7 linked regions of the Cricetulus griseus genome follow. The protein of the gene in region 1 interacts with the protein of each later gene in a pairwise test. Links are inferred from orthologs where the notes say so. Each region holds a gene or a part of one and is shown in the gene's direction. Other genes may lie near its edges.

Region 1 (4,226 bases):
ACCAGGGAATGCCTGGCAAGGTGCTGTGCAGCTTGTAAGAAGTTTGGGGGGGGATGGGAACTACCGATCTCTAGTCTAGTAGAGTGAGATGAGTTCTTGTTTGTTTGTTTTCTATCTCTCGAGTCCCTGTCCCAGCGCTGGGGTCGCTTAGGAGCCCAGGGCACTAGATCAGGTCTAGAGTCCTGAGTTTTTGAATTTCAGCCTTCCTTCTTGAACTCTGGACAAACACAACTTTTTAGGACTTGGAGACTCATGTATGCCGAATAAGAAGTAGTACTAAACTCTTGACCTGGAATAGGATAAGATTTGAGCTCAGCCCTTGGCATTCGGTGCTCCCTTGGAATGGCAGTTAGGATTAATGCCAGAGGACAAAAGGGCAGGTCGCCCACCCCTCAGAGGCTCTTAAGTATGTCTGTAGTGGTGGGGGTGGAGACAGTGTTTCATTTTGACTTACTTCAAAGGGGAAGCTCTCTGGGGTCTTCCCGGCTGCACCCCGCCCCCACTCCACCAGCGGACCTTGGATACGAACGCCTGGCCCGTGTCCCCGCGCACCCAGCCGCCGAGCCGTTGCGCTTGAACCCACAGAAAGAATCCCAGCTCTCGACGGCAGGGGAGTGGGAGATACTCGGCACGCAAATCTGCTGACCCCCGCCCCGGCCCACCCTGCCCAATCGGCGCCCTTTTAAGGGTTGGGACCCTCTGCGGTGCTGGGTCTCAGTTCTGCGCGGAGGCGCTACAGGTGTCCGCTGGGGACCTAGGCCAGGCTGACTGCCAGCACAACACCGCATAGGAGATTTCTTTCTAGGGAGGCAGAACAGCAGTAGCAGCAGCAGAGAGAGAGGGACAGAAGGGGGCAGCCGGGAGAGCTAAAGCCAGGAACTGCGGTGGGCGAGGGCCGTTAGCCCTTGGCGTGCACCGGATCTCTGGGAAGGTGGGAGGAGACAGTCCCATGGCCTGCCCCCACCCAGTCTAGTACAGTGCCCAGCCCTTACTCAGCCCTCCTGGCGGCTTGACAGGCGAGAATGGGCTGAGTCACAGGCCCTGAAAGGTGTCACAGGGGTGTCGCAACGGGGGTGTGCCGGGTTCTGTGGGGAGAGCCAGTCCTCCCCTCCAGTCGTTCCCAGATGTCATTCTGCCCGCCCAGGCGCTTGGTTCCTGAGTTCCGGGGCATTCCACGGTTACTAAGTTACTGGTTTTTGTTGACTTTTAAATATTTTCTTCTACGGGAGAGGGGGAGGGGGGCAAAAGTCAGGAAAGAGCAAATAAAAGCAAGTCAACATAAGCCCCCCTTCCCCAAAAGAAAGTTGCCCCCTACTCCTCATCCCCACCCAAACAAAACGCCTCTGAAACCCATCCCTTGGCTGGAGCATCAGCCAGCTAGAACTGACTACTTCCCAGGCCCAGTCTTTAGCTCCCTTTCTGGTGAATGAGGGCTGGTGGTGGACAGTCCCTTTGTCTCCCAGCCCTGGGTGGACAAAGGGGCTTCCGGAAAGAGAGAAAGAGGATGGCCAGTGGAAATGGGCTCCCTCCATCCTCGGCCATGGTGGCCAAGCGTCCCTCCGCCCTGGGGCCATTCCCCAGATACGTGTGGATCCACCAGGACACACCCCAGGATAGCCTAGATAAGATTTGCCATGACATCTGGAAGAGAGTTCAGGGCTTGCCGGAGTCCCTGCAACCCAGGACCTCGCTGGAGAAACTCTCGGCGCCGATGACCGCGACTGTCAGCTTCCAAGAAGAGTGAGTAGTGCCCTGTTTGGTTGATTATCAAGGAATGGAGGGAGGGGAAATGAAGTCTGACTTAGGGTTGAACTCTCTCTGGCCAGTGTTAAACTCTATAAACATTTTCTTCATCCCTTAGTATGGGTAGTTTGGAGGAGGGAGCTGGCCACGGTGCTGAAATTCCAGGAGCAAGGGAAGAAACCATTCCTGATGGCTTCTTTCCAGATACTAAGGAGACATTGTCATTCTAAAGGCATAGACAACTAAGATGAAAATCTGGGGTCCTGGCAAGAGTATTCTCACCAAGCCTAGGGGTAATATCACTGTCCCCAGAGGCAACTAGGTGATCTTTCCCCTCTCCCAAGAAAAGTTCAGGCATTGGCACAGATGAGTCTGATGGCTGGAAACCACATCTGGAATCCCCTAATACAGAGAGCAGCTGTCCCATTCAGCATCCACAGAGCTACTGCAAGAGCGCACATCAAAATATTTACTGGGAAGGCATTGACATATTCAGAGGACATAATAGAAAATTAAAGTGCGGGAAGATGACTGTAAATAGCCGGTTTCCCGGATGGGAAATCCCATGTCTGGGAAACACAGAGCTAAGTGTTTCTGCACTAGGAAAAAGTTGAAGAGATATTGTTGGGGCTGGATATTGGAAATGAGAGGAAGGAGCAGAGAGGAAGAAGGGATCTCATTAGGAGAAGGAGTGCATTCGTTTTGGTGATTAATGTCACTGCTGAGTACTCTTTCAAGGCTCTGCACCTTCAAAGTGGGCTGCAAGCGTTAATTAATCCTCCCAGCATCCCTATGAAACAGGTATTAGTGTCCCCATTTTACAGATGGATTAAGTGTTAATAATTAAGTGCCAATTAAAGCCTAAGTGATAATTAAGTGTTGTCTGCCCCCAACACATGCTCCAACTCAGTTCAGAGATGGGGGAACCATTCAGGCATTTATCAGCTGCCTCAGGTTTCAGGGCTCTCTAAGCAATAGCTGAGAGGGAAAGAAAAGTATAGCAGATGCTCAGGTCTGCACTTCCTGCAATCCCTTTGCAAGCTCCTTTGCTTGATGCAGATGAAGGTAGAAGGCATGCTGGCTGCTTCTGCCTCCTCTGCCCTATGCTCAGCAGGACCCGGCTCAGATGGAAATGGCCTTTCTATAGCCAGAATCCTGTGGCTAGTCTTTTCAGTGGCACCGAGCTCCTCTGTCTTGTTCATTGCCATCTGCTCTGGGACAGTGCCTTGGCATGGGAAACCTTGGGGGCTGTACTCAGCTCTCTCAATGGCCAAGGAGCTGATTGTCCACTTTCTGGATCATAGGTCAGTAGCAATTTCCAGTAGATAGCCCCTTCTCTGCCAGGTCACACTGAATTCATGGAGACAGACTCTACTTCCAGTCCACACTTGGCCAGAAATTGAACTAGCCTACCTTTGGCCAGTTGATTCATTCTGTTTGGCCCTGATTTCCTCATCTGCAAATTGAGGATGATGTGCCCTGCCTTGTCAACTCAGAGTCGATAATGAGGGTCAAATGTGATGGGAAACAAAGAAATGAAAGATGCATTATAGAAACAAGACCGCCTTAATATGTAATGCACCGAGTTTTGGGGTGGGAGGGTTACTGCTGTTGGCTTTCTTCTGGAGTTTTCATGTGGTCTCCAAGTCCCAAGGGTGCTTCACACAGCCACCCTAGAGTCAAGTGGGTTGTCTGCTGGGTCCCACACATACTTTAGTCAGAGCTGTTCAGGCTTTTGTTGGTTTTACTACTGGAGTTCTGAGTATGGTTGCATTTGAAAGAGTTTGGTGACTGAGAAGAGACCCAGGAAACCACCTACTTGGAGGAATAAACCACATCATAGTTGTAGCTATCCACCTGGTAGAACACAATGAGAACTTCATGAAATGAAAGCCAGTGCTTCTGGAGTCAGACAACCAGGTTCAGCCCCGCGCTGGATGCAGAACTGTGACTGTATGGTGGATCTTAACTTTGGTCATCTGCCAAATGGAGGTGACAGTAGGGGTTGCTGGAGGTGGCAAATCTGAATCGTTCAATGGTCCTGCTAGTAATTAGGATTCATAAATTCCTTCTAAGAACAGCAGTTATAATTTCTGTAAATCTTGAAATTTTTGCAGGCAAGAGGTAGTACCTTTTCAAATTCCCCATTCTTTTTTCACTATACAAATTTGCAAACCCCCAAAATAAAGGTAGCGAGAGCCTATAGATCTAAATTTTTAATTTTTTTTTAATTTTTTATTTTCTGTGCACTCATGTTTTGCCTGCATATATATCTGTGGGAACCCCATGTTCTGAGTGATGAAGGGTAAACTTTAAAACTAGAGGGCACACCACTGTTTCTTATGTGTTCAGATACACACCTGCTGGGTTTTCCCCTGCCTAATGTGTAGAGTTTTGATGGGGGAGGTCCTTCTGTGCATATGTTTGTCTTATTGGCTGATAAATAAAGTACTGTTGGCCAACAGGGAAGCAAGATAGGTTGG
Region 2 (4,086 bases), on another chromosome or scaffold:
GTAATCTCTTATAAGACAGGGACTTTTGTCTACCCCGTGTATTTATAATTTGAGAAGAGCAACGGGTTCTAGGCTGGGAGAAGGCCCCTTGCATTCACCTCGAGCTGGCATTTTAGTGTAACAGCTGCGTGGATTCTCCAGTTAAGCCGCACCGCTCGGGGCTGCTTGCCCCGGGTAGGCTGATTCCAGGGAGAAAGCAGTGCCCCTAGAGCAGCGGGGGGCGGGGGGGGGGGGGCAGAGACCTCCTCGAGCCCCCACCCCTGCACAGACAGCACCCCAACCCCTGGCGTGTCCATCACCCCCAAGCTTCTTACAAAAGGGGAAATCCCTTTCTTGTGTTTATTTGCCAACGAGTCAGGCAAACAAACCGCCAGCTGAAAATCTCCCGGGCTCCTTAGTGTCCCAGCTGAGCAGTCTTGTTAATGGTCCAGCTCCTTTGATTGCTGGAGATGTGGGGCGCTCATACGTTCGCTCGCCCTCTCCCTCCCATCGGAGGATTTTAGCAGGCAAAATTTAAATTTTGGCGAGTCCTTTTTTAAAAAAAGAAAGAAACCCACAACCCTGCCCCTGGACCTCTTTGACAAATGAGAAGACTCCCAGCATCAGCACCAAGCGAGTGAGCTACAGTGAAGCTGTGAGTCAAAACCTCTCTCTCTCTCTCTCTCTCTCTCTCTCTCTCTCTCTCTCTCTCTCTCTCTCTCTCTCTCTCTCTCTCTCTCTCTCTCCCCAACCCCTCCCCCCTCTTCTCCTCTCCCTTCCTTCCTTCTCCTCCCCCTTCCCTACTACATATCCCTGTCTTCCCTCTCTAGCATCTCTATCAGGGCATCCTAACCCCTGTCTTTCATAGAAGTCGACTTTGCCCATTTTTGTCACCTTTAGGGGGTGGCGGAGGTGGGTGGGATGAGGGGCACCTTCCACTTTAAGAGCGCTCCAACAACAGGCCCAATAAGCCAAGGGGAGCCAACACTACTTCCCAGCCTCTCCAAGTGTCTTTAGTTGAAGGCTGATGAACGCTGGGTACTAGCAAACCCGAGGGCGAGGAGAGCCAGGGAGGAGGGACTCTCTTGGGGTGCGGTGGGGGGAGGGAGAAAGAGAGAGACGAAAGAGGAAGAGAGAGGAAGAGGGACAGCCACTGCTGCGTGAGTTAGATAATCAGCAAAAATTAAAAAGAAAAAAAAAAAAACTGTAGCGACTAGGCAAGAGGGTTAAAAAAAAAAAAAAGCAACGCGATTGTAGATTGTATGTGAGCATCTCCGCTCTCGCTCTGCGGGCACCCGAGAATCGCGATGCAGCATCCTCTGACGGGGGCCACCTGCGTGGCACTCCCCAACGTGGGCATGTGTCCCCAGCTCTCGTGTGCCTTGACTTTTATGTACTTACAGCAGGTAAGACGCGCGGCTCTTTCTCAGCGGCAGCTTCTTCTCAGCTTGACCAGACTGGGTACCGGTTCAGTGGGCTGCGCGTTGGGGGGTGGAGGGTGGGGGGTCTCGATCATTGGGACGAGGTTTGGTGGGAGCTTCTGGTTTTCCGTTAAGCCACGATGCTATTTTAATTCACCTGTCTGAATACTTTGTGAACACCGATTTCCAGCCTCAGGGACCGGGAATTTGAAAATAAAAAACTGGCTTTTTCTTGTGAGCATCTTTTCTCATGTCAGAAGTCCCAGAGGTGGGGTGAGGGGAGATTTCTAGGATGTTGAGAGAGTTTGGGGCTCTGTGAAGACATCCTGATGTTTGTAGTTTTAATTCAGCTGTTTTAATGATTGACACAAAGTGTGCATGTAGTGTGTGTGTGTGTGTGTGTGTGTGTGTGTGTGTGTGAGAGAGAGAGAGAGAGAGAGAGAGAGAGATCTTTGTTAAGTTTGTGTTATCTATCCATCCACAAGAATCAGTACATTGGGATATCTGGAGCTTGACAGCCCCCCTACCCAATCTTCTTTGAAACTCCCCAGCATTGGGTGAGCATGGGTAGATGCTGTCTTGACTGGCCGGAACACAGGGTGGTTTGTTTGCTTCTTTGGTTGTTTCTATAACCCAGGCCTGTCCACTCCCTGACAGTGGTCTTGCCAGATGTCTGTTGGCTTCATTCCCACCCAGTCCACATCTGTGAATTTTTGGATTCAGTTCTTGCTCTGAGTGTCTGCTCTGGGCCTCAATGGGTCTCCTCCTCCCTCTTACTAGAAAGGCTTCTGCCGAGTACAATACTCCGGGGCTTTGGAAACCACCTAACACTGTCCTGTGGGGAAGCAGGCCAGCTGTATCACGGGGCGGGGTCTGTGGCAGTGAGTTGGCAATATTAGAGGGGTTTTGTCTGCTGGTGGGAATCCATGACCCGACTCACTTTGGCCTGTCCTATGAAGTTTTCACCGGGGGTAATCCTTTTGCCTGCCTTTCAATGAATTCACTTTAAGAATAAGATTGGTTACATGTGTGTGTTAACAAAACTTCTTTTCCAAGAGTTGAAAGGAGCCCCTTTCCTCCAAGATGTCCCACTCTAATTTGTGCTACAGAAATATATGTCTTCATAAAATGTCAGGGGTTCTGTTTTGAACATTCGGGTAATTTGTTATCAGCTCGGTTGCCAATTTTTTTCCTCCTCATATTTACTGCTGCTAGTCTTTTTTTGAGAATAGCTCCTTAAAAACATCTTGTGAATAAATTGGTTTATACATGTATTTGTTTTATTTTGTTTCCCATTTAGTCAATCATACCAGGAACCATCTCTTAGGAAGGTATTGATAATATATGTGATTCATCAGCATGTACCATTTCCTTGCCTCAGTTGTGAGTGTGTGTCAAGTGCCGGTGCATTTTACATCAGTTATTTGTCACAGAAACATTCCAGTAAACATTTCTTCAGTTGCTAAACCTCAGCTGGATTGAATCAAACAAATTACTAGAGCAACTGGTTTTTTATCCTATATTTGTGCCTTTCATTTTATTTATGAATCAACTGGATTATGTTATTTAAGACGTAGAATGTTATGAGTGCGCAGTGCTTACTCTGTTTCTGGGGCTTATGTGTTTTAACTAATCTGTATTTCTGCTTCATCATTAAACTGGTTTGCTCATTGAAGAATTTAGGAAGGAGGACAGTGGCTTTGAACAAGAATCTATTCTTCTGTGAAAAGGAAGGGTGCATCATGTGGCACCAATCTTTCCCACTGTGGAATGCACCTGCTTTGGAGAGGAGCCTCACAGGAAGTGCTGGCAGCCATAACAAATATTTAGAGGTGACTAAATCAACAGCACGATTCCCCAGGAAGGTAGATGGGGGACGGTCTTTGAAATGAGGTCTCAATGTGTTCTCCCCACGACTGAGTGAGGCATGGGGTCAGAAAGGTGAGAGTGACAGAAGTATGTCCCTTACTGAGGTTTACTAAAATTCTGAAGTATAAAAAACGGGCAGACATTTATTTTTGCTTGTCCTATTTACAATCAAGGTTTTTAGCTGCCACCACTACCCTTTCCTAAAATTCACTATCAGAGACCTGTGCCTTGGGGTCATCTCTTCTGACCTTTTAACGCCATGATTCAAAGTCAAGGTCAGAAAACTGGCTGATTTACAGAGGAGACAGTCCCTTTCATCTCCACAGGCCACATATCAGTACAGACTACACATCTTCTGCCCGTGTGGAACCACTATACTTTTTTCTGCTACTAATCTATGGCTAATATTACATATCCATGTATTTGATAAGCAGAGAGCTAGTTCATACTTTCAAAGCATATTCATCAAATAGATGACTGAATCATGCTTCATTTATGAATAACAATACCTTCATTAGAAGAATTAAATTTTGTGTGTAGGAAAAAGGTATGTGTCAGAAACCACTGTCCTCTTCATCGCCAGTTTACATACAAAAATAATTAAAATCCTCCTATCTTTTGTGAAACATTTCTCATCCTGTTTTTATCCATGCACACGGTCTCATGTGTTGGGGACTCCTGGGTCCTCACTGAAATATTTTATCTTAGAATGAAGTCTTATATAGGGACTATCTCTTACCCAGCACTCAAGGAAAATGACTCGGTTATATGTGTTCACTGGCCTTGATCTTAACAACCCGTTCCTTCCTAGATACTA
Region 3 (3,500 bases), on another chromosome or scaffold:
TCTTTGAACAGAGTACTTCCAGGGCTTTCACTAGGACTGAGAGGAGGTGTTGCTTCCTGTTGTAGGGTGTTAAAGGTTTGCATACCACAGGCCCTTCCCCTTGGGGACACCAGTGAGCTCTACGGAGCACTGCTTTTAATGCTAGGAGGCCTGGAGAGCAAGCCATATGGGTGGCCTGTGAATACCAAGCCCAGCCAACTCACAGTAAGCACTCAACAACTTGCCCAGAAAGATGCTTCCAGATCAGTCTGCTATCCTAGGGCCATGTTGGAAAAAAGAGACTTGGAACTGGAATCCATAGCATAGAAGACACGGTGTGGCCACAACATGCTGAGGCCTCCTTGATCAGCTTGCCACCGTCGTGGGCTAGAGCATTGATGTACACAGCCATGCTCCTGTATGTCTTGGGCCCCTTAAGGGCACTGGCCTCTTCCACAAAGAGTTCCAGGAAAACAGTGCCTCTCTAGGTCTTCAGTTGGTTTGACATGCTTCCTCTTTATTGGAGTTGGCAGTTCCTTTTTCCGTTTTTTTAACAAGCATGGTGGAGGTCTCACTTTCCCAGCAAGGGTTGGTGACGGGCTGACTGCCAGCACAAGCCCTTGGACACATGCCTAGTTGTTTGCAAGCCCGACTTTTCACCTGGCTTCGTGTCTAAAGGACGCCATCAGTACTAAAGCCTCTTAAGTTTCAGAGTTGGCAGGAAGAGTCACCTAAACGGGAATCTTCGGCATGGAGCACTGTAGGGTCTGCTCTCCTTCGCGGGAAATGGCTCCCTTCCTGGTCTCTGGGGGTGGTGCCCTTGTGTTGGGGCCACCCCTGGTCTTCAAACCAGATTATCTGCTAAGAAGGAAGTCAGCGTGGAAGCCCCCAGGCAGCTGCTGCTCATGGCTATAGATGTGGCTGCCTGGAGTGTGAGCCATGCAGGGAAAGAGTCTGCTGCTGTCACCTGCTTCTTCCTGTCTGCACAGCCAGCCATGGTGCTTGCCTTTGGTGCCTCTTGGTGTAAAGGGCTTGTACTTGCTGATCACGGTGGCCAGACCCCGCCTTTCCTCCCTCCCAGAAGTACTGCTAACCTCGGGCTACTTTCCTCACAGACAGAGAGAGGCTTGTTGAAATGCTCCGTGCCATGAAGCAGAGGGCACTGTCCGCAGCAGTGGCAGACTCAGTGACAAACTCCTCGAGGGACAGTCCTTCCATCTCCCTGAGTGGTAAGGGAAGGACACCCCACCCTCAAGTGTCCTGTAGCTTGCGCCACAGGGTTAGAGTGGCACTCAAAGTCTTGTCTTCGTGGTGAACTTGACCTACTGGAAGCTGGGCTTCTCTCCAACCCTCTTGTGTGGTCCACCACCATCCTGGTTGTGCCTTAGGACACAATGCAAATTAGAAAGTGGGCTTGAAGTTCAGGGGAGGGCGCTGACTTCATGGAGCTGCCCATCAGCTGCGGGCCGTAGCTGTCATCCCCCAGAGAATGGGCCCGAAGCCCCTGGAGTGTTGTCCCCAGCGGAGGTTGTGCTACAGACCCTGCCTGGCTCTCCAGACACCTGCTCTCTTACTCCTCTCTGCTGCTCTCCAGCTGAAGGAAGCTGAAGCCTTGGGGTCCCATCTCTTGCTGCCTCTTCACCTGATCTCCCTAAGTTGGATGAAGTTACTTACTCCTGCCTTCTCAGCGCTTCCTGCTGCTCTTTCTCCCCACCTGTCTTCTGGGAACTGTTCACAGTTGGACTTGCTGCTAAACATGCTACTCTTCAGACTCTAGCCTCATGCAGTGTTAACATAGGATGTTCACACTGGGTCTTCCTTTCTGCAGATGTAAGCTCTAGCGGTCAACAGGGTCCTTGTGCCTGTTTTTCCACAACTTATAACCTTTCTTTCCCTCATTTTCTGTCTTTCAAAGAACCAGCCACACAGCCAGCTCCTCTAGAGACAGATCAACCTGCCGGAGTCCCTGCCTCCTTGTCAGATGTCCCAAAGGCCGTGGAGACTGGGAGACTGGAACAGCTCCGGCCTCAGGAGCTCTTGAGGGTCCAGGAGCCAGCGCCTACCAGCGGTGAGAAGGCCAGGCTGAGTGAGGCCCCCGGGGGCAAGAAGAACCTGAGCATGCTTCATTATCTCCGGGGCGCTGCGCCCAAGGACATTCCTGTGCCGTTGTCCCACAGCATCAATGGGAAGAGCAAGCCTTGGGAACCCTTCATGGCAGAAGAGTTTGCACATCAGTTCCATGAGTCAGTACTGCAGTCCACACAGAAGGCTCTGCAGAAACATAAAGGTAACAGGCCACATGCCCCCGTCACCTGTTAGGCCATTCACGTATTAATAGTACCTCTTAAACTTTAATGCCTGTAAAGCATTAAAGGTCTCACTGGGCATGGGAGTGGGTGAGGTGAACCTCAGCTTCTTTCAGACTTGTAGCAGGACCTAAAGCACCTGGTCAAGAACCACGCACCTTAGTTAGCAAATGGCAGTTCAGTAAGGCCAGAGCAAGTGTCCTCTGTGCGAGTGCAGTCCACAGCAGTGACCTTTCCAACAACCACATAAACTCACTTGGAGATCTTTTCTGGTTCGTTGCCAAGGTACTGTGTGTCCATCCCCCCAGGGCCCAGTGATTGTAGGGATAGCAGTTTTCCTGCCCTGCTCCCCCAGCAGGAATAATTCAGTCACCATGCCCTCCAGTCCATGTTAACGGCTTCATACCAAGCTCACAGACAGAGTGTGTCACTGAGCTGACTCTGCTGCTGGAGCCCAGGAAGCAAAGGCAAGAGCTCAGGTGGCTGGTTAGAGGCGGAGGCAGCATTCCTGAAGTTTGCTGGCCAGCCAGACTAAACAAAACAGGAGAGCAATAGAGGAAGAAAACCAGAGTTGACCTCTGGCCTCATGTTGCCTCACCTGTGAGGAAAAGCCCCAGGAGAGAGGTGCTAACTGGGTCTTTGTGAGTTTATTGGAAAGATGGTGCTTTGGCCAGAGGCAGCAGATTGCTCCCTGCTCCTTAAAATGGACAGGCTCTTTGAAGTGGCATCTAAGGGACACGTTGCTTAATAGTTTTCAAGTGAGGCCACCAGCAAGACTGAGCCATCTCCTTCTAGAGGGACAGTCCATGTCTTGGTCAGGGAACACCTCTGCCCTGCCCTCATGAAGGAGGCTGTGCTTACAAAGTTACAGATGTGCCCATGGGATCGGAACTCTGGTGCATGTTTGTCTCCATGGATGACTTTCAGTTGAGCCCTGCCCTTCAAGATCCTCATTTTCTCCTCCCCAGGAAGCTCAGCTGTGCTGTCTGCAGAGCAGAACCACAAGGTCGACACGTCAGTCCACTACAACATTCCTGAGCTGCAGTCCTCCAGCCGGGTTCCCTTGCCCCAGCACAATGGACAACAGGAGCCGCCAGCTGGGAGGAAGGGTCCCCCTATGCAGGAGGTGGACCAGGACTCTGAGGAGGACAATGAAGATGACAGTGAAGAGGAAGCTGAGGAAGCCCCCAGGCGCCAGTGGCAAGGGATTGAGGC
Region 4 (4,102 bases), on another chromosome or scaffold:
CTCTCTTCATCCCTGTTGTCACTACTATTTCACTAGTCTCTTTTTATGCCTGAGTCTCCTCACAGGCTTCCCGCCCCCTTGGTGCCTTCACAATGTCACAGGAGCCTTGCTTTTTAGCCCCTCCCCACTTTTATTTCTCGTGTGTGTGTGTGTGTGTGTGGGGGGGGCGTGGTGTAGAAGTCAGAAGACAACCTCCTGTGGGATGTGTTTTCTTCTTCGGCCATGTGGGTTCTCTTGATAGAACTCTGGTCAGGTCGTTGGGGCTTGGTGGAAAGTGCCTTTACTGCTGAGCCATCTTACAGGCCCCACAAGAGTCTCGACGGTGTCCTCTTGAGATTAAATCTTTTAATGTGTCGACGCCCGAGATGAAATGCCTTTAAGTTGGGTCCTACCTGTTCCAGCCTCATCAGTAGCTGCGCCTCTCTCACCCCACGCTACTGTTTAGGAATGATTCTTGTAAACTTTTCCACTTTCTTTGATACTGGTTTCCCACGTTTGAATTTGCTTGGCAGTCTTTACTCATTCTTCAAATCCCAAAAATGTTCTCCCCGAGAATCCCCATCCTTCTAGACAGGCATCTTCATCTCTTTTATACCACTTTGACGATGCCCACACATTCCAGTGTGAGGGCAGGGTCTACTTGTTTGCATGTCTGGTTCCTTGCTGTGACAAGTTTCTTGGCAGCAAGACCATGTTTCTTCAGGGTGCTGCCTGGCGTGGCACTTAATACCTTGAGAAGTGGACCGAGGTAGGATTCTTAAACTTAGCAGTAGCTGAATGGCTTTGGATAAGTCACCTCTGTGCAGTGTATGCTTCCACAACTGTAAATTGGTGTTTATGATATCCTCTGAACAGAATAAACAGCAAAAACTCTTGTGAGACCCCTACCATATACCAATATTCAAGATAAACCTTATAGCTATATTAGTGTCCATCTAAAAGCAGAACTAAGGAAGCGGGCTATTTTTGCTTTATGTTAGCCAGGTGCTGGGCTTGTTTTTCTAGTATGAGTCCTGTTGCTTTTTAGGGATATATTGGACATTGCCCCAAATAGTTGTACGCTTCTTTCCAACCCGGGATTTTTGGGGCAAACGCAGTGCGACGTCGCCCCCTGTCGCTCGCTGGTGGTAGTTTGGGGGCAAAGTTAGGCATCTTCTCCAAATCACTGCTCAGGTGTCCCGGACTTGGCTTTTCCCAACCATCCCCTCTGGTTACTCCCTCTCCAGGCTGTCAGCGCACCCTGGCTGCGGAAGCCCCGCCCACCTCGCGCATCTTGGAGGCGGGGTCTGTGGCGTTTTGCTGCCGTCATTTCCAGTGGATCCGGAAGCGGTGCTGCCAGCCGGCCGGAGTTAGGAAATCGAGATGGATCGGAGCTTAGTGTAAACCCTGGGCCGATCCTGGGCGGAGGTGGGCGGGCCTGGGTTTGGTGGTCAGCGGAGCGGCTGGGGTGGAGCGGCCTCTGGGCCAGTGTTGGAGAGCCGAGGCTGAGCGCTTCTGCTGGGCCAGCGTTGCCCCGCCTCCAGGTTGGAACCGGCTTCCACCTTGGGTCCGGCTCGGCAGCGCTTTTGCCTGGCTACCGCGGCCCCTCAACCCGCCCGGACAGCTGGGTGTGCGGCCTGCGGCCAGACGGTCCTCTCTACTTCACTTGTAGATGTTTTTGAGGCTCTGTCCACGGCTGCCAGAACACTGAGGTGGAGCAAACCGCTCCAGAACCCCCATGGAGAAGTTTGGAATGAATTTCGGGGGCGGCCCAAGCAAAAAGGACCTGCTGGAGACTATAGAGACACAGAAAAAGCAGCTCCTCCAGTACCAGGCTAGACTCAAGGATGTGGTCCGGGCCTATAAAAGTCTACTGAAGGAGAAAGAGGCCCTGGAGGCCAGCATCAAAGTGCTGTCGGTATCCCATGAGGCGGATGTAGGCCTTGCAAGTGTGCAGCCTCCAGGTCTCACGCTCCCTGACTCTGTGGATGATCGTTGCTCCACTCACAGTGAGGATAGCACCGGAACTGCCACTAGCTTGGATACTGCAGCCAGTCTTACGAGTATCAAGGGTGAGTTTGGGGTCGAAGATGACAGAATGGCCCGTGGACCACTTCCTCTAAAGTCCGAAGAGGCCAGTGGGTCAGAGAGTGGCGTTAGTAGTAGCAGTGGGGATGGGCCATCTGCGGGGAGTGAGATGGACAAGAGACTACATCAGCTGAAGACTCAGTTGGCTACTTTGACTAGCTCCTTGGCTACAGTCACCCAGGAGAAGTCCCGTATGGAGGCATCTTACCTGGCAGACAAAAAGAAGATGAAACAGGACCTAGAGGATGCCAATAAAAAGGCAGAGGAAGAGAGGGACCGTCTGGTGGGAGAATTGAAGGGGCTGCAGGAGCAGATAGCAGAAACCAAAGCCCGACTTATCACACAGCAGCACGATCGCGCCCAGGAGCAGAGTGACCACGCTGTGATGCTGCGAGAGCTGCAGAAGCTGTTGCAGGAGGAAAGGACCCAGCGTCAGGACCTGGAACTTCGGTTAGAAGAGACCAGAGAAGCCCTGGCAGGGCGGGCATATGCAGCTGATCAGATAGAAGGCTTTGAACTGCAGACCAAGCAGCTGACCCGTGAGGTAGAGGAGCTGAAAGGTGAGCTGCAAGCCATTCAAGATGAGAAGAACCGACCAGACCCGCGGCTGCAAGAGCTTCAGCAAGAGGCTGCCCGTCTTAAAAGCCATTTCCAGGCCCAGCTGCAGCAAGAAATGAGGAAGGTAATTATTCTCATATCCGTCAAACCATTATTTTAACTTAACTAGGGGCAGGCGCAAGCCTTTAATCCCAGCACTCGGGAGGCAGAGGCAGGTGGATCTCTGTGAGTTCAAGGCCAGCCTGGTCTCCAGAGCGAGTGCCAGGATAGGCTCCAAAGCTACACAGAGAAACCCTGTCTCAAAAAACCAAAACAAACAAACAAAAAAAACCCAAACAACAACAACAACAACAAAAAAACCCAAAAACTTAACTAGGAAATACTAGGGTTTTATTATTGTTCTCTTTTGGCCATTAGAATAGATTCTCTCTCTCTCTCTCTCTCTCTCTCTCTCTCTCTCTCTCTCTCTCTCTCTCTCTCTCTCCCTCTCTCTCTCTCTGTGTGTTTCATGAGGCAGGGTCCCCCCATGTAATCCAGTCTGGTCTTGAACTCACAGAGATCTGCCTGCTTTTCGCTACAAAGTGCTGGGGACTTGACTAGTTGCTTTAGTCAGGATGGCCTGGTGCTTGTTGGCCTCTTGAGTGCTGGGATTGCAGTCCGGTTCCACATTCCCAGCAGGCACTCACACTCTGATGTTTGATGCCAACTGAAAAATTCCAGCAGTGCGTCCTAGGAAGTCTTGTTTTGTGTACTGTCCTTGCAACAGGATGAGGAGTTTCTGAGTATTTCTGGGTCCAAGCCAGGTAGCCTTATCTAGGCCTCTGGGTGCTGGCGCCTTACCAGCTGTGCTGTTTGAGGCAATATCGTGACAGCTGTGCAGTGAAAGGTTACGTATGTTTTGAGAAGTATGTGCTTATAGGTAGAGGGACTGAAGGAGGCAAAGGAGATTTTCCCAGAAAAAAAAAAAAAAGTATGCCTTCGTCTGAGGTTTACCTGTTTTGGAAAACTCCTGTTTCATAGTGTTTCCTTTCAGTGTAGAGAGGAAAAGGAAAAAGAAGTTACACAACTTGTTTAAATAATCCGAGAAGCACATGGTTAGTAGGAATGTACTTTGTATTCAAGCTCAATAAAAAATGGAAAGCTGTCCTAGAAACTGCACGTCCACAAGGGAACTTCAATTAAAAATCCCAGTTCCCACCACTTCCAGGACACCCTAATCCCATGACCCATGACTTCCATGTCTTGCTCCTCCACACCCAGGTGACTGTAGTAGGGTTTTGTGCCCTTTCTGGAAGCATCACCACCTGTCCTTTGCTTTGCAGACAGCCCTTGCGGAGGACCAGCTTCGCCAGCAGTGTCAGGTAGAAGAACAAAGGGTTGCAGCCCTGGAGAATCAAATCTCTGAGGTGTCTGAACTGCTGGGCACCTATGAGAAAGCCAAACAGAAAGACCAGCTGACCATCCAGAAGCTGAAGGA
Region 5 (4,028 bases), on another chromosome or scaffold:
TTTTTAAAAAATTAAAAGAAAATTGCAGAGCTGGAGAGATGGCTCAGCGGTTAAGAGAATTGGCTGCTCTTCCAAAAGATGTGGTTTTAATTCCCAGCACCCACGTAGCAGCTCACAACTGTCTGTAACTCCAGTTTGAGGAGATCCAACATCTTCACACAGCTATACATGAAGGCAAAACACCAATGCACATAAGAAAGAAAGAAAGAAAGAAAGAAAGAAAGAAAGAAAGAAAGAAAAGAATTGCCAGGTGTACTGGTACACACCGTCAATCCCCTGCATTTAGGAAAGTCAGGCAGATCTGTTTGTGTTCAAGGCCAGCCTGGTCTACATAGTGAGTTCTAAGACAGCCAGAGTTACATAGTAAGATCCTATCTCAAAACACTTAAAAAAAGAAAATCATGTGAATATGTGGGTGTTTGTCTATTATGTAATATGTGCAGATGTCAAGAGCGTTGGATCCCTTGGAGCTGGAGTTATGTATAACTGAGAGCTGTGACCTGGATGTTGGAAACTGAATTCTTGATTCTCTACAAGGACGTCAAATGCTCTTGGCCGCTGAGCCATCTTGCAGCTCCAAGACCCTTTCTTTAAAAACAAAAAATAAAAAAACTAGAGCCCCCTCCTTTAATCCCAGCATGGATGGTAGAGGCAGGTGGCTATCTGAGTTTGAAGCCAGACAGATCTACACAGTTCCAGGCCAGCCAAGGCTACACAGTGAGACCCTGTCTCAGAAATTTAAAGCAAACAAAAATCGTTAGACAGCGCGCACTTGACCGCCCAGCGTCCATCCCTTTAACCCAGCAGTCGAATGAATGAACTAAGTTCCCAGTTGCATAGTAAGAGAGCTAAATGAATAGAACGAACGTTCGAGTTCTGGGAGCTTCCAACCCTCCCTCCATTCCTCCTGGAGGCGCTAAAGACCCAAGATCAGCCTGCGCCAGCCAACCCCTCTCCCGGGATCAGTTAAGTCTTCCCTCTCTTTCCCGCCCGGCCGCCCGCCAGTCGGGTTTGAAAAACCAAACCCCCTGCGGTGGCGGGCAGCCACACCGGTTGCCGCCCGCTGGCCAATCACGAGATGCACCACCTCTCTGGGCGAGACAAACCTTCCCAGTAACGCACGATGATTGGCTGAGGTCGCCGGTAGGCGGGACGCATGGAGGTCGGGTGCTGGGCACACCGGCTCCCGCTACTCTGTAGCGAGTTTGTAAGAAAACAAGGGCGCTGTGGGGCGGGGCCTGTGGCGCGCTAGCTCCGCCCACTGGAGGCTGTCTAGGGAGGCGGCGAGCGCCGGCTCAGAGCAGACCCCGCCTGCGCCAGCGGAGGAGGGAGGGTGAGTCTGGGGAGACCCGGCCCAAGGGGCGGGTGCCCAAGGGTTGGGCGGGGTTCCCTGCGGCCTCTCACGGTGACAGGGGGAGGAGCCGGGTGCGAGAGCCGGGGTCGTGCGGGACCGAGGGCCAAGGGTCTGCGGCAGGGGAGTAGCCGTAGAGTAGGCCCCAGTGTCGCCACAGCCCCAGGGAAAGGAAGCCCTCGTGTTCCGATCCAGCCCTTGCTGGTTCCACAGCCTTGACCTGGACTGGGCTTGGGGCTGGGTGGGTTTCACAGACCACCCGCGTCACGATGCTCCTGGAAGAAGTCCGCGTCGGCGACCGGCTGAGTGGCGCAGCGGCCCGTGGCGACGTGCAAGAGGTGCGCCGCCTTCTGCACCGGGAGCTGGTGCATCCTGACGCTCTGAACCGCTTTGGCAAGACGGCCTTGCAGGTGAGGCCTGTCTGACACCCGGCGCCCACACCCCATCCTTCCTTGTCTCCTGACCCGGCTTGGTGATCCCCTTGAGGACCATTCCTTGTTTGCACCAATGTTGGGTGGGGTAATGCGGGGGGGGGGCACGGGGAGAGGATGACTTTTCAGCTCTAAAGAATCCCTTGTCTTCAAGCCTAAAAGATTCAGTTTTGCTGCAGACTTTTATTCCGTGGGTGGGTTGTGGTTCAGCTTCTTTTCATTCCAGTCTTTGCGGACAGCTCAAATTTTGGGAGGGCCTCTAAGAAGGCATTCGATCTCAGGAAGGTAGGATGCTCCTCCAAGGGATAGAGCTATTTTTTGTAGGAGTCCTTTTTAAGGGTCTCTGGTTATTTGGGGGTGGGGGAAGTCTTCATTTCTGAAAGTGATGTGGATTTTTTTTTTTAATCTTCTGAGTGCCCCAGTTACAAAAAAAAAAAAAAAAAAAAAAAAAACCTATTGCTTGACGGCCCCATAATTTGGGGTGGACTTTGTACAGGGTCCCACTTTTTCATGGGTGCACATATATTCTGAACATCATGCCTATGTCTAAACTTTTCCCTAGCAGGGTGTTGGTGGCACACTCCTTTAATCCCAACACTAGGGAGGCAGAGGCAGAGGTAGAGGCAGGAGGATCTCTGTGAGTTTGACACCAGCCTGGTCTACAAGAGCTAGTTCCAGGACAACCTCCAAAGCCACAGAGAAACCCTGTCTCGAAAAAAATAAATAAATAAAAAAACAAAAAAACACACAAAAAAATTTTTTCCCTAGAGAAAGGGGATCCAAATTCTCTAGAGCATTTTTTTTTCTCAAAAATTCTAAGTAGTTCTCAGAAAACAAGGTTGCATTGTCTGGAGGGGTTTAACAGCTCTAGTGATCTCCCATATGGGGGTGCCCTGTCCCTGAGGGAGGCTCTTGGATCCTTGAGAGTTTTCACCCTCCCTTCCTGTCCTTCCTTTCCCCATTCCCTTCATTCTCTTTCTTCTTCATTACTTTTTTATTTATGAGACAAGGTCTCACTCTGTATCAGGCTGGCCTTAAATTTGAGGCTATCTTTCTGGCTCGTCCTCCCAAGTGCAGGGATTACAGGAGTGGTCACTATGCCTGGCCCCTTAAAGTTTTCATGAGAGTCACTTTTGGAGTTAGAGTCTTTTGTATTGGTAAATGATCTCTCTTTCTCTCTCTCTCTCTCTCTCTCTCTCTCTCTCTCTCTCTCTCTCTCTCTCTCTGTGTGTGTGTGTGTGTGTGTGTGTGTGTGTGTATGGTCCTTATTTCCAAAGAACCTGTTTTCTGGGGTCCCAAGCAGCTCCCTGGGGGCCTGTCTCTCTTGGGGTGTCCCTGTTCATTAAAGGGCCCCTTCACTGGCACTCTGGATTTCTGGTAGACCTCTCTTTCTGCTTGACCACTTTCCAGTGGGAACCTCCTGACTTTCTGTTCCCCACCCCCATAGGTCATGATGTTTGGAAGTCCAGCAGTTGCTCTGGAACTCCTAAAGCAAGGTGCTAGCCCCAATGTCCAAGATGCCTCTGGTACCAGTCCAGTGCATGATGCAGCTCGCACTGGGTTCCTGGACACCTTGAAGGTCCTGGTGGAGCATGGCGCTGATGTCAATGCCCTGGACGGCACCGGGTCACTCCCCATCCATCTGGCAATAAAAGAGGGCCATAGCTCTGTGGTCAGCTTCCTGGCTCCCGAATCTGACCTCCATCACAGGGACACTTCGGGTCTCACCCCCCTGGAGTTGGCCCAGCAGAGAGGAGATCAGAACCTTATGGACATCCTGCAGAGACACATGGTGATCCCAATGTGACCCAGGGCCGCTGTCTCCAGCCAAGGAGCCTCACTGGGTTACAAGTCAACAGAGAAGAAAAGAAACTTTCGCTCTTTATTCCCATCCATTGAAGAAGGGAGTGGGAGGAGCATTTTGTGGTTTATTGGTGTTGGTTTCTTGAGTGAGTGTGTTTGGGGGACTTTCTCATGTGTTTTTCTCACCCCGTTTGGTGTGTTGGACAGAGCAGGGGCTCCTACAGGCAACAGCCGCCTAAACGGTTCAGTTTTCCCTGCACCTGGCCGCAGAGACCTCAGGGCAGAGGTTTAAAGCCCTAGCCTCAGAGTGAGGTCATCGTCTCCTGAGCTCCTGGAAGCTGGTGACCTTGGAAGGCTGTGCTCAGAGAGCCCTAAGTGTGAGCCACCTACTTTGGGCATGGGAGGGAGAGGGGAAAACGTTTCGAATCAGTTAAAAAGATAGT
Region 6 (3,500 bases), on another chromosome or scaffold:
TTTTTTGAGACAGGGTTTCAGGGTTTCTCTGTGGCTTTGGAGGCTGTCCTGGAACTAGCTCTTGTAGACCAGGCTAGTCTCAAACTCACAGACATCCACCTGCCTCTGCCTCCTGAGTGCTGGGACTAAAGGCGTGCGCCACCACCGCCCAGTGACAAGAGATTTCTTTCAGACAGGGTGTAGGTATGAAAAGTTGGCTCACAACCACCCAGGGCATCTGATACCTCTTGTCTCCAGAGGCCCCTCACAGATTTTTTTAAATTTATTTTTATTCTATGTGCATTGGTGTTTTGTCTGCATGCATGTCTGTGTGAGGGTGTCAGATCTTGGAGTTACAGACAGTTGTGAGCTGCCATGTAGGCGCTACTCTGGAAGAGTAGTCATTGCTCTTAACTGCTGAGCCATCTCTCCAGTCCCCAGTTTTTTTTAGTATGTTCTTTGGCTCAAACTAAGGACCTCATGCTTGGAAGGCAAGCACTTTTATTGACCAAGCCCTCATGCCAGCCTAACCTGGATGGAGTTTTTAAACTCTGTTCAGAAGCAGGATCTAAGTCTAGAGTCTCTCACTGTGTTGCTGATGCTGTTGGAGAACACACCAAGAAGAGCTGCTATGATGGACCTGGGCTTCTGGTGTCTCAGGGAGAATGGGATTCAGAAGCAGAGGCTGGAGACCTATTAAGTAGAGGCTTATTAAACACACCCAGGATGTACACAGAAGCCACAGAGCTGGAGTAAGGACCAGATTTTGACAGGCAGGAGCCTGTGGTCCCTGGAGTTAAAATAGGTGGAGTGGTGACTGGTTGCTGCTTGTCATGTGCTGATATGTCATGGTTGGTCATCAAGAACCTCTTCAGAGGCCTGCAGTGCAGTCTTTGACTATATTTGCCGAGTTAGGAAGGGAGGTGTATGACAGTCAGGCATTGATCCAGGCTGCCTGCCACACAGAAACTTTAGCCCACCCCCACCCCCACCCCCGTCCTGGGCAGCACATGGAGAGTAGTGGTAACTTGTTTTCATGTTGGTTGGGGACAGGAGTGAGGTTAGGAAGTGACCATGTTTTGAAGTTCATCTCAAGGATTCCACAGCCTGAGTTTTGACATTCAAGCCACTGTTCTTGTCATTTCTTCAGTAACATTTACTGTGTGCCTTCAGGGTTTTCGGCTCTGTGCTAATACTGGAGACAAAACAAGGATAAAGACCCAGTCTTTGCCCCCCCCCCCCCCGGGATGCTCCTACCAGATGAGGGAGGCAGACAAAAACAAGCAAATAAAAAATAATTACAAACTCCCAGAACTAATAATCGAGTTTAGCAAGGTCTGGGGATACAAGATCAACACGTAAAAATCAATTGCATTTCGGTAAACTCACAATGAACATTTGAAAACTGAAATTAAAAACGCAATGCCATTTGCTGCCACATCTAAGGAAATGAAATACATAGGTCTAAGTCTGACAAAGACCATGTAGAATTTGTATGCTGAAAATAAAAAATGCTGATGAAGAAGATCAAAGGTGAATCAAATAAATGGAGAGACTTTCTGTGCTCATGAATTACAAGATTCTACAATAGTGAATGCCAACGCTCCCCAACCTCCAACCTCCTTCCTGACCTGCCACCCATACTAGAGATTGAACTCAGGGTTTGCATATAATAAGCAACTACTCTACCATTAAGCTTTTATATATATATATATATATACTATATATATAATATATATATATATATATTTTTTTTTTTTTTTTTTTTTTTTTTTGGGTCAGGTCTCATGTTGCTATTGCCCCAGTCCAAATTTATCTGCAGATTTTTGTTTTTGTTTTTCGAGACAGGGTTTCTCTGTGTAGCTTTGGAGCCTATCCTGGCACTCCCTCTGTAGACCAGGCTGGCCTCGAACTCACAGAGATGCTCCTGCCTCTGCTTCCCAAGTGCTGGGATTAAAGGTGTGCTCCACCAATGCCCGGCCTTATCTGCAGACTTAATACAGCTTCTTCTCTCCTTTCTTTTTCCATCCCCTTCCAACCATCAGCCTGGACAAACTACTTGATGCTGGCCTCTATACAGGGGAGGTGACTGAAATTGTAGGAGGTCCAGGTAGCGGAAAAACCCAGGTACCCTTGGAGCCAACAGAGGGGAGGGTTGGGGGAGGTGGGTGCATTGACCTGGATTCCTCAGGGAGTTCTTGCATGTGTCTCTGTGTTGTTGGAAGGTCAGAACAGACCACATAGGGGCTGAGAATGAGTGTGGCCTTAGCCAGTGTATGTTGTTGGAATCTGGGCAGGATTCAGTGGAGAAGCTGCCTGGTGAGATCCTCTTCTCCAAGGGCTTAGGTTTACTCAGTTCCCTATCTTGTCTCTGAAAGGTGTGCCTGTGTGTGGCTGCAAATGTGGCCCATAGCCTGCAGCAGAATGTACTGTATGTTGATTCCAGTGGAGGAATGACAGCATCCCGCCTCCTGCAGCTACTACAGGCTAGAACCCAAGATGAGGAGAAACAGGTAGGGGGCAAGATGGCTGGGTTCCTTTAAAATCCTCATGTTAGAAGACTTCATGACTACATTGTAAGAATATACACCATCTATGAGAATCATCATTTCTTACTTTGAAACTGGAGCGTCCTCTGCATTCCTAGAGCTGCTCATGTTAATGTCATCATCCCAGCTTGGATGCCACCCACACTGATTCTCCAGGAACTTCCAAGTCCTCGAGTACCATAAATCAGAGGCGGCAAAGGCCTGTATCTGTGTTTCCAGCCCATTTCTTGCCAGGGCAGGCATCACTAATCAATCATATCTGTCCTTCCTGCTGGATCCTGAATGTCTTACAGCTCAGCACCCAGGTAGTCACCACTGTGAGATCCAGCCCATTAGGCAAAACCCATTTGCCATTCCGATGCCAGCACTGTGTCTAAGTGCCTCTTTGCTTTTGCAGCTTTGTGATTACATTTATTGCTTTCCGGGATCTCCTTTCCAAGTCCCTGCTTCTCTGTCCCACCCCTCAGGCAGGTGCTCTCCAGAGGATACAGGTGGTGCATGTATTTGACATCTTCCAGATGCTGGATATGCTACAGGACCTTCGGGGCTCCATGGCCCAGCAGGTGAGCCTGCTCATCTGCCTGTTTCTGCTTTACCCATCTGGCCAGGTGTTGTCTGTATTGGGCCAGGTGTCCTACAGACTCTACTTGGATTGCATGTGTCCAGTGTTACAGCTCCAGCTGTGTTTGCCACCCCCCATCCCTCCACCCCTGCCTGCCTGAGCCTCAGGTGGAATTCCTTGGTGCTTAATTCATAATTCATGTGCTTCATTGTTTACAGGCTCACCAGCCCTGTACAACAGTGAGCTCCTTGAGTACAGAATTATATTGTCTTCATCTCTGCATTACTCACTGAAATCAATTAGGAAAACTCTCTCTCTCTCTCTCTCTCTCTCTCTCTCTCTCTCTCTCTCTCTCTCTGTCTCCGTGTGTGTGTGTGTGTGTGTGTGTGTGTGTGTGTGTGTGTGTGTGT
Region 7 (3,957 bases), on another chromosome or scaffold:
CACCTATGTGCTCTCTCTATGGTGACCAGCCATGGTGGTCAGCCATTTACCCCTGTTCCTCTTCTTAGTCTCCCCATTCTGCCGGGCCTTATAATAAACTTATAGTAAGTATGTCTGTCTCAGCATTTCTCTTTTCTTCTTTTTAAACAAAAGAGTAACAGGTGGTCCTGAGTCTTATGCTTGCTCAGGCCTGTTCCCATTCTGGGGAGTATTCGGTGCCTTGTCCAATATACAAAAAAGTATGGTAGTATATATAATATATATATATATATATATATATATACATATATATATATATATATATATATATATATATATATATTATGGAAATGGGCTCCCCTGGATTCCCAGGCTGTCCTTGAGCTCACTATGTAGGCAAGAATGACCTTGGGCTTCTTGAAGTCTTCCTACTTCATTTCCCAAGTGTTGCAATTACAGTTGTGTACCACCATGCCCTCTTTATGAGCTAGTTTTTTTTTTTATTTGTTGTTTGTTTGTTTTTTATGACAGTGGCTGTGTAGCCCAGACTGGCCTGAAACTCGTGATCCTCTTGACTCAGCCTCCACAGTTCTGGGTTCTGTGCTAACACACACGGATCCTTCCAAACTCCTTTCTTTCTTTCTTTCTTTCTTTCTTTCTTTCTTTCTTTCTTTCTTTCTTTCTTTTTTCTTTTTCTTTTTTTTCCCCTTTGGTTTTTCATACAGGGTCTCTGTGGCTTTAGAGGTTGTGCTGGAACTAGCTCTTGTAGACCACGCTGGTCTCGAAATCACAGAGATCCTCTGCCTCTGCCTCCCGAGTGCTGGGATTAAAGGCGTGCACCACCACCGCCTGGCCTCACTTATTTCTGTAATCGTTTTACTTTATATTCTAAGTTATAACAATTCTTTGTGACTTATTGCGAAGGATTCCAGCTTTGTTCCTCGGTTGCTGTTTCAGTTTTGACATCTTCATTTTCTAGTTTCCGAGCACGCTGTTCTCAATTCTGGCTCAAAGCAGGCTCTGCTCGCCCTTGGTTTACCCCAGTTAGGCAGTCATACAACTTCTCCGGGAAGCTGAGTTTGGAGGCCAAGTTCAGAAAACTTAGAACCGCCTTTGAGGTGATAGATAACTAAGCCCCAGTTAGGAGGAACTGCTCAGACTCGGCGCCGGCCGGCCCTGCACCCAGGCAGGCACCTGCCTCCCGCGCATGCGCGCCGGGCGGTGACGCAGGACCTGGACTTGCGCGTTCAGCAAAGAGCAGAAGAAGCCGGCGACCTTGCACTCCCAGCCTGATTCTTGCCTAGCGGACCGAACATTCGCAGGTGACTGTGCCCGCGGTGCCCCACTGCGCCCGCGTGCGACCCCTTCCCGGGACCTCCCCTGCCGGAGTACCCCATCCGGCCCTGCTCCACGTCCCTCCGGGGTGGGGGGTAACCACCTTCGCCAACACTCCCTCTCCAAGCCCGGCTCTTGGGCACTCCAACCTTGCTGGCCGCGCCCACTTCCTCAGCCTCACGTCCTCTCTTCGGTGACCCCTCTCAGCCACTGTTGCTTCTCCCTTCCCCAAAGTCCCCCCGCCACCACCCCTTCTCGCTCTCTTCCCTTTCTCGAATGTCTCCATTCTGACCCACGCCCCTCCCTCTTCTCTGATGTCGCCCTTCCTGATTGTATCCCGCCCCCACCAGCTCCTGCCTCTCCGGAGTCCCTTATCCTGATTGTATTGCCTCAGCCTCTGCACTACTTGTATTCCCTCCACCTCCTGTCTCCTTCCCTGTCCCCAGTGTCCCCCACGCTGGTTGTATTCCCCTTCGAGGTCTCTGTCTCTTCCCCCTACCCTGTTCATTGTCTCCATCCTGATCTGTCTTCCCTGCGTAGTCTTTCTTAATGCTCTGTCTAGCCTAGCGCCCCCCCTTTCCCTGGGTCCCCGCGGGTTTCCCCAGTGTTCCCCACCATAATCTTTTCCCTCCCTTCCCTACTTCTGGCCCATTCTGGTGCCCCTCCCCTTCTCCTAGAGCCCTTTCCGGGCTCCCCAAAGGCCCACATCCTGGTTATATCCTCCCCAACCCAGAGCATCCTTCCCCGTGTCCCCTATCCTGATGGTATCTTCCGTAGAGCCGCTTAGTCCTGACCCCCCCTTCTCCACCCATGGCGGGTGAGGAGGTGGTGGGGGCGCACTGCTGAGGATGGGACGTCTCAGGCCCCGCAAGGGACCGCTACTGCCTCACTGAGACCCTCGGGTTACTTGTCGCCTGCCATTGCCTGGCTCTGGTGGGCCCTCCTGTTCTACTGCACTTCCATGGTCGGCAGTCTTACCCTGTCTTTAGTTCAAGCGTAACTCCTTTTTATTACATTTAATTGTTACGCAGCTAGACTGAGACCTTGGGAGGTCAGGGATTTTATTTGGGATAAGCAGAAATTGTTTGTTGTATCTTAACTTTCAGATGCATAGTGGTTTACAAAGAGACCTCATGAAGGAGTGGAGTAATTCCCAGTGTTTTAGAGTAGGTGGAAAGGTTACAGATTCTAGAGACTGCATGTCTAATTCAGAACACACTGATTAATCCCTCCAAAGAAGCCTACCTCCCTCTCCCTCCCTCCCTCCCCCTCCCTTCCTCCCTCCTCCCCCCTCTCTGTGGTGTGTGTGTGTGTGTGTGTGTGTGTGTGTGTGTGTGTGTGTGTGTGTGTGTGTGTGTGTGTGTGTGGTTTACTAGGATAGAAAGACTGGTCTCTTGTGGTCTTTGAGGCAACCAGTGCAGGAAGTGACTTGTCCCACTTTACAGGAAACAGTGAGGTGGCAGCTGGGATTTACTGCCTGCTGACTTAGGGTGATGTGTGTTTGCTGAAGGAGTCATTGACCAAACATGGCTGTGTGTCTGCCAGCCTGTGCTGTGGTTTTGCCTTCTAGAGTGGAGAAGGGCATGTAGCTGGGAGTACTGTTGCTGCTGGCTCCTTCCTTAGGGTGCTTGGAGTGTTTCCTGGGCCCAGGAAGCTTTGCCTCTGTGTGGTCAGCAGGATTTGGTTAGGACAGATGGCCCCAAAAGAGACCCTCTAGCCAGGCAGGTGCTTGTCCTGGTTTCTCTAGTGTCTGTGATGTTTATTTTGTGTATGAGAGATTTCCCACTGTTCTTCCTCAGGGCAGGAATCAAAGGTGTTTTTCTGTCAGACACACAGTAGATGTTCAGTAAGTAAGGATGTTAGCATATCTTTGTAAGTAAATTCCCTGATAATAAAGACTGAATTTATGAAACTGGTGGCTCCTCTCACTATGTCTGTCTGCTATCTATCTCTTATCTATCTCTGGAAACTGTACCTTTAGGTTGTAGGTTTGCAGAGAGCCAGTGATCTGAGAGGGAGGCCGTGTTCATACCGTTGAACAGGCTCTAATAAGTCAGCTGCAGTTGACAGGTGGTACAGCAAGGGGGAAACGGAGGCAGTCTGACATTGCACAGTCTGCTATTCCTACTCAGTCTTGGCCTGCTGGTCAGGAGATCAGCCTAGACCCTGAAGTTCATGATGTCTATGCATTCCTCCTGATTGTCTGTCTGCTCTTCTCCGTTACAGTCTCTGTTAACTGGGTTTGGACATTCTTAAAATATCAAGTCCTGTGTTCCTCCCGGTGCCTCCTGGGCCAGAGGTTAACTCAGAATAGCAGACCATGAACAGGGGTGTGTGCAGATTCCTTTCTACAATACATCTTACCAACTTGTCCCTAAAATATAGAGGATAAAAGTGCTCTATCTGCCCTTCCTGTTCCTCGCCATTCCCTATTGTTAGTAATAAGTGGTATCTGTGAGTACTGTATCATAAGGACGGCGGCATCCTGCTGCCACGCGTTTAGTTTAGTTTAGTTCCTGTAAGGAACTTCCTGGCATAACCATACCATTTGCAACCAAAAGAAGTTAGACAGATGAGATGGGTAAAGAAAAACCAGTGAAGTTTCCCTGAGGCCTGCAGGGCTCAGGAGCCAGGAGGCCAGAA

Evidence for each region.
Region 2: the proteins of CUNH1orf94 (region 1) and Rbfox1 interact in binary tests that used the Homo sapiens proteins (3 or more experiments, as listed by UniProt). The link is inferred for Cricetulus griseus from reciprocal best matches to the Homo sapiens genes C1orf94 and RBFOX1.
Region 3: the proteins of CUNH1orf94 (region 1) and Gse1 interact in binary tests that used the Homo sapiens proteins (3 or more experiments, as listed by UniProt). The link is inferred for Cricetulus griseus from reciprocal best matches to the Homo sapiens genes C1orf94 and GSE1.
Region 4: the proteins of CUNH1orf94 (region 1) and Gcc1 interact in binary tests that used the Homo sapiens proteins (3 or more experiments, as listed by UniProt). The two-hybrid records come from large-scale screens. The link is inferred for Cricetulus griseus from reciprocal best matches to the Homo sapiens genes C1orf94 and GCC1.
Region 5: the proteins of CUNH1orf94 (region 1) and Cdkn2d interact in binary tests that used the Homo sapiens proteins (3 or more experiments, as listed by UniProt). The two-hybrid records come from large-scale screens. The link is inferred for Cricetulus griseus from reciprocal best matches to the Homo sapiens genes C1orf94 and CDKN2D.
Region 6: the proteins of CUNH1orf94 (region 1) and Rad51d interact in binary tests that used the Homo sapiens proteins (3 or more experiments, as listed by UniProt). The two-hybrid records come from large-scale screens. The link is inferred for Cricetulus griseus from reciprocal best matches to the Homo sapiens genes C1orf94 and RAD51D.
Region 7: the proteins of CUNH1orf94 (region 1) and Plekhb2 interact in binary tests that used the Homo sapiens proteins (3 or more experiments, as listed by UniProt). The two-hybrid records come from large-scale screens. The link is inferred for Cricetulus griseus from reciprocal best matches to the Homo sapiens genes C1orf94 and PLEKHB2.

The regions. Positions count from the first base shown.
Region 1 is NC_048595.1:25,030,073-25,034,298, forward strand, and holds the start of CUNH1orf94 (uncharacterized protein C1orf94 homolog), read left to right. Parts: upstream 1-1,426; coding exon 1,427-1,740; intron 1,741-4,226.
Region 2 is NC_048600.1:39,617,981-39,622,066, reverse strand, and holds the start of Rbfox1 (RNA binding protein fox-1 homolog 1), read left to right. Parts: upstream 1-1,286; coding exon 1,287-1,385; intron 1,386-4,086. UniProt on the Homo sapiens protein: RNA-binding protein that regulates alternative splicing events by binding to 5'-UGCAUGU-3' elements. Regulates alternative splicing of tissue-specific exons and of differentially spliced exons during erythropoiesis.
Region 3 is NC_048596.1:197,195,858-197,199,357, forward strand, and holds part of Gse1 (genetic suppressor element 1), read left to right. Parts: intron 1-1,094; coding exon 1,095-1,208; intron 1,209-1,894; coding exon 1,895-2,266; intron 2,267-3,253; coding exon 3,254-3,500.
Region 4 is NW_023276806.1:199,371,218-199,375,319, forward strand, and holds the start of Gcc1 (GRIP and coiled-coil domain-containing protein 1), read left to right. Parts: upstream 1-1,302; 5' UTR 1,303-1,717; coding exon 1,718-2,749; intron 2,750-3,947; coding exon 3,948-4,102. UniProt on the Homo sapiens protein: Probably involved in maintaining Golgi structure.
Region 5 is NC_048597.1:134,146,785-134,150,812, reverse strand, and holds the start of Cdkn2d (cyclin-dependent kinase 4 inhibitor D), read left to right. Parts: upstream 1-1,228; 5' UTR 1,229-1,333; intron 1,334-1,394; exon of another isoform or gene 1,395-1,605; 5' UTR 1,606-1,620; coding exon 1,621-1,761; intron 1,762-3,229; coding exon 3,230-3,589; 3' UTR 3,590-4,028. UniProt on the Homo sapiens protein: Interacts strongly with CDK4 and CDK6 and inhibits them.
Region 6 is NC_048600.1:96,305,149-96,308,648, reverse strand, and holds part of Rad51d (DNA repair protein RAD51 homolog 4), read left to right. Parts: intron 1-2,024; coding exon 2,025-2,106; intron 2,107-2,357; coding exon 2,358-2,492; intron 2,493-2,995; coding exon 2,996-3,091; intron 3,092-3,500. UniProt on the Homo sapiens protein: Involved in the homologous recombination repair (HRR) pathway of double-stranded DNA breaks arising during DNA replication or induced by DNA-damaging agents. Bind to single-stranded DNA (ssDNA) and has DNA-dependent ATPase activity.
Region 7 is NW_023276807.1:13,223,288-13,227,244, reverse strand, and holds the start of Plekhb2 (pleckstrin homology domain-containing family B member 2), read left to right. Parts: upstream 1-1,157; 5' UTR 1,158-1,301; intron 1,302-3,957. UniProt on the Homo sapiens protein: Involved in retrograde transport of recycling endosomes.